Linked DNA regions of Cricetulus griseus. The protein of the gene in region 1 interacts with the protein of each later gene in a pairwise test. Links are inferred from orthologs where the notes say so. Each region holds a gene or a part of one and is shown on either strand. Other genes may lie near its edges. The genes, in order: Creb3l1, Slc35b4 and FXYD domain-containing ion transport regulator 3.

The links.
Region 2: the proteins of Creb3l1 (region 1) and Slc35b4 interact in binary tests that used the Homo sapiens proteins (3 or more experiments, as listed by UniProt). The two-hybrid records come from large-scale screens. The link is inferred for Cricetulus griseus from reciprocal best matches to the Homo sapiens genes CREB3L1 and SLC35B4.
Region 3: the proteins of Creb3l1 (region 1) and FXYD domain-containing ion transport regulator 3 interact in binary tests that used the Homo sapiens proteins (3 or more experiments, as listed by UniProt). The two-hybrid records come from large-scale screens. The link is inferred for Cricetulus griseus from reciprocal best matches to the Homo sapiens genes CREB3L1 and FXYD3.

What each region holds. Positions count from the first base shown.
Region 1 is NC_048599.1:84,749,640-84,753,898, reverse strand, and holds part of Creb3l1 (cyclic AMP-responsive element-binding protein 3-like protein 1), read right to left. Parts: intron 2,465-4,259; coding exon 2,386-2,464; intron 467-2,385; coding exon 309-466; intron 1-308.
Region 2 is NW_023276806.1:193,809,305-193,813,563, reverse strand, and holds part of Slc35b4 (UDP-xylose and UDP-N-acetylglucosamine transporter), read right to left. Parts: coding exon 4,249-4,259; intron 4,047-4,248; coding exon 3,986-4,046; intron 2,562-3,985; coding exon 2,452-2,561; intron 1,175-2,451; coding exon 1,099-1,174; intron 1-1,098. UniProt on the Homo sapiens protein: Antiporter that transports nucleotide sugars across the endoplasmic reticulum (ER) membrane in exchange for another nucleotide sugar.
Region 3 is NC_048602.1:4,719,659-4,724,017, reverse strand, and holds the start of FXYD domain-containing ion transport regulator 3, read right to left. Parts: upstream 2,769-4,359; coding exon 2,729-2,768; intron 1,334-2,728; coding exon 1,301-1,333; intron 1,214-1,300; coding exon 1,190-1,213; intron 443-1,189; coding exon 368-442; intron 277-367; coding exon 240-276; intron 32-239; exon of another isoform or gene 1-31. UniProt on the Homo sapiens protein: Associates with and regulates the activity of the sodium/potassium-transporting ATPase (NKA) which transports Na(+) out of the cell and K(+) into the cell.

The DNA.
Region 1 (4,259 bases):
TTGGGTCTCTTTCCATGTTGCCCCCAAACAGTGCTCCTTGGGGATAGCCTGGGTCACTGCCAGAGTACAGAAATGTCAGGTTCTCAGCTCCATGACAGTATGGCTTCTAGGCCTTTCTGGAACCTTTGATTTCTAGTCATCCCAAGGCAGAAGTGAAAAATGCCCCCTTACTTGCCAGAAGGGCATCTCCCTGTATCTAACGGGATAAGTATCAGATGTGGGGTATCCTGACCCCTTCACTGGTCATGGCACTAGCTGAACGTACTCCTTATCTCACCTCCAGGGTCAGCCCACCCCTAGGTGCTTACATGAGGGGCAGTGAGGAGCGGAGATGTGGAAATGGCCGTGGAGGAGCGGGCCATGGGCCGGACAGGGCTGGAGGGGGGCAGAGAGCGAGGACTCTGGGAGCCATCACTGTCACTGCCATGGCTGCTGGGGGGTGTTGGAGGCATCTGTACGAGGTCCTCTGCAAAAAGTAGAGGGCTAGGTTAGTATAGTAGGGTTGTACCCTGTGTCTGTGTGACACTGAGTTCAGCTGAACATGAGCTGTGCCAGCCCTGTCACCAAAGGAATGTGCCTATAGGCACTTAACCTCGGCTGGAGTATCAGAAGGCCCTTGGCAGTCCCAGGAAGACATCTGGCACACAAAAAGATGACGGCTGAGTACTGCCTATCTCTGATAGCTCAGAGGAAGCCCCCTGCAACCTCGATGAGGGGCTCCTGGGCCATATGCTTCCCTGCCTGTGGCTCTGCAGGATTCAGGTTCTCTCTAAGCCAAGAGGGGACTAAGGTCCCCACGCAGATCCACCGGGCTCAGGTGGACCAGTCCTTACCCTTTCCTTTCTCTGACTCTAAAATACTGATCCAATCTCAGGAACAGGATGGCAGGTGTCGGGATTGCAGCAGAGTGGTGAGGAGTGATGCTCCTCCTCCACACCGTCCCCTTCATGGCTAGAGCAGCAGGACGACTGACACTGAGCAAGCATCAGAAAGAGGTGTCTCAGGCTCAGCAGCTAGCAGAGATGCTGGGAAAGTTCTGGGGGTGGCACATAACTCCCAGGTAGCTCTAGGTGTGGAAACCTGGGCTCCATGGCCATGGAGTGGAGGGTTTGGCGCAGGTTGGCACCCACATCAGGCCTCTCTCCTTCCTCTGATGCTTGTGTGTCTCTTATGGATCCCACTCCAAAAAGAATGAAGGGCTTGGAATCCACAGACCTGAGATCAAGTTCTGACTGTAATGACTCCAATACATGTGGTCTTGGTGAGCTCCCCAGCCTCACTTCCCTCATCTACTGAATAAGGTTGAAAAAAGTCAGCTCCAAGCCGCAAGGGTGCAGTGAGCTGGTAAGTGGGGGAACTGCTTTAGGAACTCCACAGTACGAGGTGACTTAACACAAGTTCTTTCTCACGCCTTGTCTGTGTTCTGGCTGCTCTTCAACATGTAAGCACCAACAGTATCTTATTCATATGTCCAGTTTTACAATACTTAGCCCAGGGCTTGACACATGTATATAGATGTTGAATCAGTATTCACAAATTAATGTGGTGAGATTGGAATGATTCTGCTACCCTTTCTCATTCCAGTAATTCACAGAAGCTGACCATGCTCCCTCGGCCCAATGAGCTGTACAGGCTCCCTGTGGATTTGCTATCTGCACACCCATATCACTGCTGAGTCTGTGACCCTAGGAACCATGTGATCTACTCGGGTACAGAGACTGTCTTCTTTCTTTGCTTTGGCAATGCCTGGAACAATTAAGATGGTACCCAATAAACGTTGGTTGGACGGATAGATAAACGGGTGGGTGTTTAGGTAGATGGTTACATGGGTAGATGGATGAATTTATGGATATTTGGTGGATGGTTTGATGGATATATGGGCATATAAATGGTTGGTTAGTTAGACGAATGGATGAATGTGGAGATGGGTGAATGAGTAGATGAATGTATAGATGTGTGGGTGGTAGAGTGAGAGATGGATTCATAGATCGATGGATAAGTGGATAGACAGATGGGTGGATGGATGGACGGATATTTGGATGGATAAGTGGGTAGATGGGTGGATGGATAGTTAGATGAGTGGATGGTTGAGTAAGGGATGGATGTATGGATGGAAGGAAGGATGACTGACTATAAAGTGGCCTTCAGTTTGTGAGTGGATGTTAGAAGATCAGCAAATGGACTGGCGTTGGTAGAACGATGGCAGCTGAAGACTGGGTAGAGAAAGACTGGAGGAAAAAGAGGGAGCATAGATAGCTAAAGAATTCTCATTTACTGGGGAGGTGAGAACATCTGGGAGCGAAGTGGGAGTTCTGAGGGACAGGCGTGGTCTGGACAGAGGGAGTGCCTGTCTGGGATCAGAAAGAGTCTCCTGTACATACTTACCTGGTGTCACTTTGAGAAACTGGCTCACTTCTGGGGGTTCTGCTTTGATCACTGGCAGCTGAGTCATTTCTCCTGGGGCCTGAGGAAGAGACAGGTTCAGCTCCATCACCTGCCCAGGGGAACAATCCTCATCATGTCATTCACACTCCTCCCTCCCTCCGGAATATTTGGAACAACGGCTGGTCTCAAGAGTCCTGGGCTCAGCCCAGAAAGAACAGAGAGGCAAGTTCTTATGCTTAGACAAGCCATACTACACCCAAGAGCAGAGAAGGTGGCTACACACTGTAGGTGAGAACTGGATCTCAGGAGGTATGCATAGTTCCTGTGGCATCTGGGGCCATGCCAGCTTCCAGGTAGACAGAGGCTGCCCCTTCACCAACTATGAAAGCCATGTAGGCCTTGGTATGTGGTTACCATGAGCACAGGAGGTCATGTTAGTCTCACTCTAACTGTTGGATGAATGAGAAGAATAGTTCAGGAGGAATTAACTGGCTAAGGCTCAGAGAAAGTTGAAACATGACATGGATCCTGGGACACAAATTGAAGTCGAGTACATATAAGGAAGCTTGCAGCAGTGAGAGCCCTTGAGGGGTTTCAAGTAAGGCACAGGTGAAAACAGATGTACATTTTTTTTTTTTTTTTTGAGACAGGGTTTCTCTGTTTTTCTTCGTGGCTGTCCTGGAAGTTGCTCTGTAGACCAGGTTGGCCTTGATCTCACAGAGATCCGTCAGTCTCTGCCTCCTGAGTGCTGGGATTAAAGGCACAAGCACCACCACCACCCAGCTCAGATGTACATTCTTATTTATTTAAATTCCAAAGTATTGTTCTAGAAAGGGCTTCAGGAACATGTGTGGTTTTGTACATGTGAACATCACCAACATGCCCGTTAATGGTGATCTCAGTGAGGAGGCTGTGGCTCTTGGGATTGTCTCTCCCCACTGGGTCTGCTGGTAGCAGAGATCACTACACTGTGTGAGGGACAGAGTGATGAACTTAGAACAATGAGGAAGAATCAGGGATAGTGCTGGGTGTCCAGGAACTTGGCCATACCCTGGTCTACACCCAGCTCAGTGTCAGCACTACAGATGAGGGGACTGTGATGGAGAGTGGCAGAGGCACTTTAGTGGTTCATATGGCTCTCTACAGACTGGCCCCAGTGGCCTGCACTGGTTATAGTGGGAACCCTCCACTCTAGGGTCTGACAGACCAAACTTGGAAAGCGGCTTCGAAATTTCTGACTGTGATTTGTGGCTTAACTCCTGGGAGCCTCCGTTTCCTTTTCCACTGTGATCCCTTCCTCCCCCTGACTTTAGCTAAGCCAGTTCTGGAATCCCTAAGGATGTAGCTGGTTGTCAATCAGCTCCCTGGAACCTTGGGAGCAGGAAGGGTGACCTTTCTTGCTTAAGACTGCTTACTTTGAACCCAGGTGGTCAGCAGGAGGCAACCCCCCTGCCTAGGGATTAATGTTTGTTTGTTTGTTAAGCTATAGAATTTTAGGCCTTGTGGCTTGCACCTTTTACATGGAAGGAAGCTGAAGAAAAAAGAGAGAAGGCAATGTGAGGTTCCCTATACACTCTGGAAGTGGACGTAGGGTTTGTTATGAGTGCAGCTTATTAATCTAAATACAGACTAAAATATAACACTATTTTTTGCATTTACATGTTCATCTTTCTCCAAATCCTGAAACTTAACAGGAAAGGAAGTACCCCCGGGGTGGGGGGTATCTTGACTTCAAAACTAACCTCAGTCCTGCCTGGTGCCCTTCAAGCTTTCTCTGCATGCAGGGAGGGCCCAGCATGCTTGGTGGGCACTGCTGTTTGTGCCTACTGGAGGATGGTAAAGGGGTGGTCAGTGTGGGAGGCAGAGGACCTTAG
Region 2 (4,259 bases), on another chromosome or scaffold:
CTCTCTCTCTTCTTTTTGGCTCCTCTTGGGTTGGCTGACTACCCATCCCCCTCTCCCTCCAGGTAAATAAACTCCACGTGGGTTGTTCATCCGTTGTTCCTTTCTTTATATCAGCAGCTGCAGCTTAAACAAAAGAATAACACTGTCCATGCCTTCATTCACCTTGATTCCAGTCTACACTAAGAGTCAGAGCTCTGTGGGGACTTTCGAGATCTTCACAACTATGGTATTAATAGTGAGAAATGGTGCTTTGGAAGTCAGAGCCTTGTGGACTCTTTCCCATACTACCTACTTCTGTAACACATTTTAGGCCAAATGACAGACACAACGCTGCACATGCAGAGCAGGCCCAACACAGTACAAAATGATTTACTACCTGTGGTGTTAACAACATAAACCTTTGATTTAAAAAAGGGTTTTCTTTATTATTATTATTTTTTTACATTCTAATCCCAGTTCCCCCTCCCTCCCAAAAGGGTTTTCGTACGTGTTCACCTATCTGTGTAACATTCCTGGATGATCAGATTGTACAAGTGATTGTACATCTTTCAAGGTGACTGTCATCAATTTACCAAGTAGGCACTTGAAGAAGCAACATCTTACCTTCATATATTCTTTTTTTAAATTTCATTTTGTTGGTAATTAATTTATCTTGTTTATTTAATCTGTAGCTAGGGAAATAAGCCCTGTCATCATTTTGCTTCCTCTTGCTTGGTGCCAAGGCAGCCTAGATCTCTGAGCAGCTCTGCCTTTCATGGCAGAGGACAGACACAGAGACAGCCGGCTGCCACCCAACCTCAAGGGCTCCCGTTCCAGTTGAGTGCTGGTACTGCTTGTCTGCATTCTCAAAACATGTAACAATCCATGTTCAAATACAAACACACAATCCCAAAGGAAACGAGGAGAGGTGAGGATATTCTTATTTGCAGGGAGCAGGAAAGAGCACAGAGAAGCCCTTGCTGCTGGGACTACTGACTAACAGCACCATCCATCTGGACACCTGGAAGGTGCAAAGGTTCTGATGAACAGGAGATAAAGCTGTAGTCGAGCCAAATGCAGAAACTGGCAAGTAATACTGCCACATGACCCCAGACTTACCAGACTTATTGAACAGAACAACATGATCATAAATATCAGAAGCCAAGAAGATGAAACCCGGGAGTGGAAGGGCGTGCTGTGGGAAGAAACACATCACACACAGGTAAATACAAAGCAACACAGAACAGCTTTACGATGACTTGAGGCTGTCCAATTAGCAAGTTAGCCCCTCTAAGGTAAATTACCAGTGCCTTGTGCCCTTGACACCATATGGCGTGACATCTTATGGAGTCTGATGGTCACCAACGAGAAAACCAAAGAAGTAGGGTCCTCCCTTCCCCCAAAGGGAAAGGGAGGCTTCAGCAGTTATTCTGCCCCAAAAGACTTGCTCCATACTGGATTTGAAAATGACAAGGACCACACAGATGGCAAAGAATTCAGAAATTAGTACAAAAAGAGATTTGAAGGCAGTCTGAGGTCAGGGAAAAACCAATGATGCGATGAGGCCGAAGAGGAAGAGGACACAAAAGGTCCCTGACAACCACCACCCTCCTCACTACAGCACTGCAATGTGAGGTCACGTCACGTGACCCTTGCTGAGCTGTCACTATGCTTGGCATTGTTCTCAATGAAAGATACAAGCCAGGGGCTGGAGAGATGGCTCAGCGGTTAAGAGACCTGGCTGCTCTTCCAGAGCCCTCTTTTGGTGTACAAGCACACATGCAGGCAGAACACTGTATACATAATAAATCTTTAAAAAAGAAAGAAAAGAAAAGAAGAAAGATACAAGCCAAATAAAATGCTTACTTTTTAAAAATCCCTAGCCACAAACTCTAGCTCCGCGTGAATGTGTAAAACTGCCTGTTCAGATTAATTGTACAGAGAGGGAACTCTCTCTCTTGCCCTGGCCTGGGACAGGGGGGTTCTCTGGACATATTTCAATAGCAATGAAGGAGGGGTAGAGGGAAGCTACAGGAGAGGGTGCTAGGTCACCCCTTAAAGCGAAGAAGCTTGGCAAGTGCATGCATTGAACTGAACAATCATGTGAGCACAGCCCCTCTGGGGAACTCAGGCCCTGAATCCCCACCCCCCATTGACATCACACTCCTGACTTCCTGCCTTGGAACTCATTGTCTCTTTCTGGATTTCCATATTAATTTTAACAATTTTACCTACAGGGACTCTGCAGGCCTTGGCTCCTTGTTCCTTAAATGTTTTATTTGGTAGATCATGATCATCTCAGATGATTAACTCAAAATACACATTGTCCCCTGCCTAAAGTACCTCAGTGCACTGGTCTCTGGGCTGGTTACTAACGAAAATACAATCTGTCAGTTATGGTAGGACTTCATTCTGCATAACACATCATAAATCAGAAATTTTCACCTTCCCAGGGTTCAAAAAGTTACTTACATTATAAAATAATGCCTCCTTGGAATGTTTCCCAAACTGTTTGTATAGAGTCTCTTGGAATATGCCCATCCTTGCTGACATCAGCAGGGCAAAGGTCAGTGCTCCAATGCCTAAAAATCAGGATCAGGTTACAAGGTGCCTTTTGGTCTACTTTCTTAAGGTGACAGTACTATCTATAGTTCTGTAACTGCCACACTAGGACATGCAAATTTCAAAACCACAATGCTACCATGAAACCCTCTCTAGCTTCCCATTTCCACACCCTTACGCATGTTTCTGTCTACCAAGATGGAGTAAGAGTGTCCACACCCTTTACACCTGGCTTCTCTCTTCCATGGGTTTGGAAAGTGTGACTTAGGGCCCACACGTCACCCTATCACGTAGTTGCAACACAGTTAAATGTCTTGCAATGAGACCAGTTAGGTTTCCAGTTATTTCTCTGAAATCAATACACGGAAATACTTAAAATGTTAGTTATTTCCTTAGGATAATTTTTCATAAATGGAACTGCTGAGTCAAATGTTTAAAAAAAAAAACCGTTAAGACCTTTAAAAAACTCAATACACAATGTTTTTTGAAAAAGGCAATCGATTATACTCTGTCTACTAACGGCTTTTATGAAAATGGCTGTTACTGTACACTCCTGGCAGTGACAGTCATTTACCATCTTGCCCATATGGTAAGTCACAAATGAAAAGTTTGGTTTTCTTTGATTACTAGGGTAATTATTAGCTTACAAGGGTAGATTACTGGACATGAATTTTTGCTATAAATTGTACGTTCATATCTTTGAGAATTTTCCTATTGGGTAAGCATTTTCCCTGTAGTGCAGAGAGCTTTTCTATGAAGAACAGCAGCTAAAGGGTTAAAGTCCAAAGCCAAGATACACAGGCTTTGCTGCTATTTTCTTCCACCCAATCAGTGTGACTCCACTCCTGTTACTACGGCAAACATTTCCCCTCCAAACTCAAGTGAGGATGAGGCCCTGTAGGAGTTGTCTAATTAATTCCACACAGAGATACTTGTATTTTTAAAAATTCTCAGGAGAGTTGATTTGGGAACACTGTCACATGGAACACAGTTAAGTTAAGAAGAAAAAAGCCCCTGTGTCCCTGGGAAACTGAGAGTCAAGAGTTCTAAGTCACCCTTTTTTTTGCAGGTACTTCTACTCAGTGGACTGGCCACTAGGAAACAGAAGACTCCCTATACAGTACTCCTGAAGAGAGTAACAGACCTCTCTATGCCAGTGATAACCATGGGAAACGTGGACCCACGTAGAACACGATGCCAAAAAAAAAAAAACAAAAAACAAAAACAAAACAACAACAACAACAAAAAAACCCCAAAAAAGTGAACACTGGCCTTTTAACTTTTTGAACACTGAGATTCAGAGACATATTGGTCCCAGGTGCCACTCTCCTCCTTGGCATAATTTGTTTAGCCTAAACATCTTGCCAAGAAACATGTCCCACCGGAGAAAACTCAGCAAACAAAAGTGCAGAGGTAATTAGCTTTTTGTAACTGCTGTACTTGCCCAGTAACCACCGTGCAAATGCCTGGAATCCATCCTTCTCATTCAAGCTGGACTGGGAAGTCTAGGAAATAAGAAAATATACTAGGTACAGAGGCCAGAATGGCAAACAACATCTGAGATGCAGGGGGATATTTATGCTTTCCACTTCCTTCTGCACCTCTTTCAGAGTTTAGTTCCTGTATTATGTAAGCACTCTAATTCCTTTATTAATAGATACCTGGTAAGGGGCCCGATGACAAGTAGTGAATACAAATGACTCTTACCACCTGCTTTG
Region 3 (4,359 bases), on another chromosome or scaffold:
ATATACAAATAAATCCCTCATTTGTCCTCAAGTCTCAGCTTGCCTAGCTATACGGTTTCTTGGCTGGTTTTCCACTGTAGGTTTGTACAAAGCTAGGGACCAAAGCCTTCTTAGGATAGTTTGCATGAAGCCAAGCCCAGAAGACCTCAGGGCAGAGCCCCCAGGCCTGTGCTCTCTTTGCACAAGGCTTAGCCCTTTTGGGCGTGCCCAGAACCCGTCTCGCCCAGAACCCGTCTCACCTGGGCTTCTGGCTGAACTTGCATTTGCACCTTCCACCTGTTGGAGACGGATGTGGTCAGAGGGAGGAACGCAAGTCCCTGCCCTGTTCACCCCCCACCCCCCCGCCAACGGCCCCTCCTGTACTCACTCAAAAGGACTATGATGCCCACGGCACAGAGAATCCCTGCACAGATGAGCCCGCCGACTCGGAGGTTGTACCAATCTGAGAGGGAAGCAGAGAAAATGTCAAAGACAGCCTATGTCCCCCACCCAGTCTATCTAACTTGAGAGCAGTGAAAGGGAAAAGCAAAACCCCAGCCCAGTAGTGCGCACATTGCCGTTCCTAACCAAGTAAACAAGATATTCCATGTCCATTCAGGGACAGAGAGGCCATCTGAAGGGAAAAGATCAGTGTGGAGACAGGAAGTCAAGATGAGGGTCTTTAGAGAGAGTGACCAAGCAAGGGCTCTCTGAGAGGGTCCCACTGGAACGGAGATCTGCAGGGAGGCAGAGGTGGCCCTGAAGACACACGGAAGACAGTGGTCCAGGCAGAAGAACCAGCAGGCGCACAGGTCATGAGATCGGCGGTTGCCTTCTGTATCTGAGGATGATAGCTGGAGCAGGGGTGAGGGTCCGTGGAGAACGAGAGGGCAGGGGGCAAGCGGCAGGGGGAAGTGGAGAAGAGTGGGGTAGAATTCCCTACCTTGTCTGGGAAAAGTTTCATGACCAGCATTCTGGTGTTTGGTCTAAACCTAATGCCTCTTGTGGACTGGACTCAGTCCTGTGTCTGTCTTGAATTCCCCCTCACGGCTATTCCTGTAACCTATCTGGATGTTCAACCACCCATTTCCCACCTTCTCCTGTCGTGGTCCCTGGGTCACTGTGAACTGTCAGTCACCCTTGTGTGGGCCGCTTGGCACAAAATAATGTGTGGGACTGAGAAGAAGAGAGGAGGGGACACGGTTCTTACCATAGTAGAAAGGGCTGTCCTTATCTGCAAAGAGAGACAGGACACACCCATGAATCCGAGGCGCCAGCAGGGTCTAGGGTGAGGGGGGTGGAGGGGTGGGCTCTGACTCACCTTTGGGGTCATTGGCATCCAGAGAAGGCAGGCCTGTGGGGGCAAGTAAGGACAAGCGATGACTATGGTGGCCCTAGAAGGGCCCTCAGCAGGATCCATGGAGGTTTGTTGCCTGAGGGAAAATGTTCCATGTGGAGGTGGGGGAGCAGCCCCACCTCCAAAGTGTACAGGATCTAGCTGCTGGCTAGTCCCACCTGGACACGCGCCTTCATGGAGATGTGGGCTCACTCACCCACTCCTCACCTGTGAGTCATGCCAGCATTTTGCCACCGGAAACCGATCCTACTCCGGGTACATTTTGGGACTGTTTGAGTGAATGTTTCCAGAGGCTCTGCCCTTCCAGGTAGCAGATGGTCTCTGTTCCCAGGACAGCTTTCTCCACGCCAGCAATGCCCACAGCCCACAGCCCTCACAGCCACACCCCACAGTTAGCAGGGCCGCTGACCTCTTTGAAATAACGCACCGTTGGCAACTTCTATTCATTCTTACATTCCTTTCCCAAACAGAATGAAACTTGTGTCCAAAGAATGGTAAGGTAAAAAGCGGAAAAGCAGGGGTGGTGGTGGAGAGAGATGGCCCAGTGGTTAAGACGACTGATTGCTCTTGCAGAAGACCCGAGTTCAGTTCCCAGCACCCACATGATGACTCCCAAACATCTGTAACCCTGGTTCCAGGGGACCTGACACCCTCTTCTGGCTTCCACAGTCACCAAGCACTCAAACGGCAAAACTCACATATGCATAAAATAATATTTTTAAAAAAGTGGCTAGCTCCTCAGAAATGATGCCAAAAGCCATCCCCTGGCTGCCACACCCCAGGCACACAGACATAAGCACACCTGCACACATAATGAACGCACATAGTCATGCACACACAAAAGAGGCCGAGGGGGGAAAGGAGGAAACACGACAGAAGCAAGGGCCAAGGATTAAATTCTGGCTGAAGCTTGTTCAGCTTCGTCCCGGGCCTGAGTTCTGCTAAAGGGAGAAAAACAATGCTTAATTATATTTGAGGCATGAATGCCTGGGGCCCACTCCACCCAGGCCCTGCCATATTGTTGTTCAAACATTAACGCATTGAAGCCTCACGAAGGCCCTATGACTATGTGCTGTTCTCTGTGTTTTCAGAGGAGGGGAAACTGAGGCTCGAGGCATTCCAGTTACCTGCTACATTGCTGCTAGGGTCCTAGGCACAACTGGGAAGGCCATGTAGGGAGGCCGTGGCACACAAGAGTACCGGGCCGAGCCTTTGGCTTGCTGTCATCAAAAATTAAATGGCATCTCCCCACATGCACGAGGCTGCGAGCATGTATGTATGCATACGTACACACACACACACACACACACACACACACACACACACACACAGCTTGTCACCACACAGCTGAGAGGTCCAAGGGAAAGGGCAGCTTGGTGGCCTGATACCCACCTGCTAGGAGGACCAACAGGCTCAGAGCGACCTCTTGCATGTTGCAGCGTTGATCTAGAGGAGTCCAGAGAACAGAACTTTAGCGGGGTGACCAGGACGCAAGGCCCCGCACCTCTGCTTCTCTATCCCACCCCGCTGTTCACCAGGAGCACAGCCCAAGGTCCAGACAGGAAGGCTGGTAGTGACTGGTGCTCACTCACAGGCTGGGAGATAAGGAGCCCCAAAGTCAAGTGGGGGCTGGGTGAGAACTCACGCTCCACAAAGGAACAGCCATTGTCATTGTCATAATGAATCTGTTCTTGGAGAGAAGAGGTGGAGTGGTGTTTTGCTACGTCCGGGCCGGCCTTGAATTTGCCATCCTCCTGCCTCAGCTCTCCAAATGCTAAGGTTAGAGGTGCCCACCTCCACATCCAGCTTGTCACCCCTATCCGTATGATGGGGAAACTGAGGCTCTAAGAGATGAAAGCTGATGGCCAAGATCACTTGGTCCAGAAGGCAGGGTTTCAACAAAGCCTCGTCCCTCACTAGCTGTTCATAACTCAGAACTGTGAGGGCCTCGGGGTGTTTTGGGGAGTAGGGTGTCAGGAGCCAGGTGGCAAGAGGCCCGGGTTCCGGGAGTGGCTCCCACAGACAGCTTGGAGCCTGCCCAAAACACGCTGCCGGCTTCTCTCTGGGGCCTGAGCAGATTCCCTGGGCTCCTGGGTGGGTGTATGGCAGAAATGATGCCAAGTTGATGGGGCGTGTGCAGAGGGGGATCCTGGCTTTAGTCTTACCCTGTCTCCTGCCCCACCCTTGGGTCTGTCCCTTCAGACCCCACTGGGCACTCTCTCAAGTCCAATCTTTGCCCCCTACCCTAGCCTTCACCCTTGACTAGGCCTCTGCGCTCGCTCCGTATTATCCCAGCTCTTGGCCCTGTTGGGCTTCTCTCAGCAGCAAACGCTCCACAGTTCCCCAGTGAGAATCACTCAGCACAGGGCCCCTTCCATACAGCGCTGGCCTAATAGTCTGCCTTTCCGTTACCCTAGAGGCCTCTAGTCAGCTCCTTCTCTCTGAGCACCTCCCCCACTTGCCCTGCTCACCTGTCGTGAGCTCATGTACACACACACACACACACACACACACACACACACACACACACACCACACACACACAAGATAGTGAGTGCTAACACTTGTCCCCATTCCTCACATGCTGGGCACTTTGCAGTGACCTTGTACGTTCCCTTTTCAATCCCTAGCAGCAGCAGCCCCAGCGTCACCCTTCAGAGCTAAGCCTTTTTACCCACAGGAAAGCACACACTTGTAAGGAATGGAGCTACTGAGGGTGCAGGGGTGTCCCATATGCTCTCACAGACTTCTCCATCTCCCTGGGCTCACCCCCAGAGGCCTGGGAAACCCTTCAGCTTCTCTAGTCATCTAAATCGGCCCAGGCCTGTCAGGCAAGCTACCAGGGAAGCCAAGGCAGAAGATAAGCTAATTCACGGCCAAGCTAGGATACAGAGTGCAAGGCCGGTCTGAACAATTTAGTGAAATGTCACAAAATAAAAGTAAAAAGGGGATGGGAGGTGCAGCTCAGTGGTAGAGGCCCTGCCTAGAATCCCCCAATGAGGGGCTGTGGGTGTGGCTCAGCGG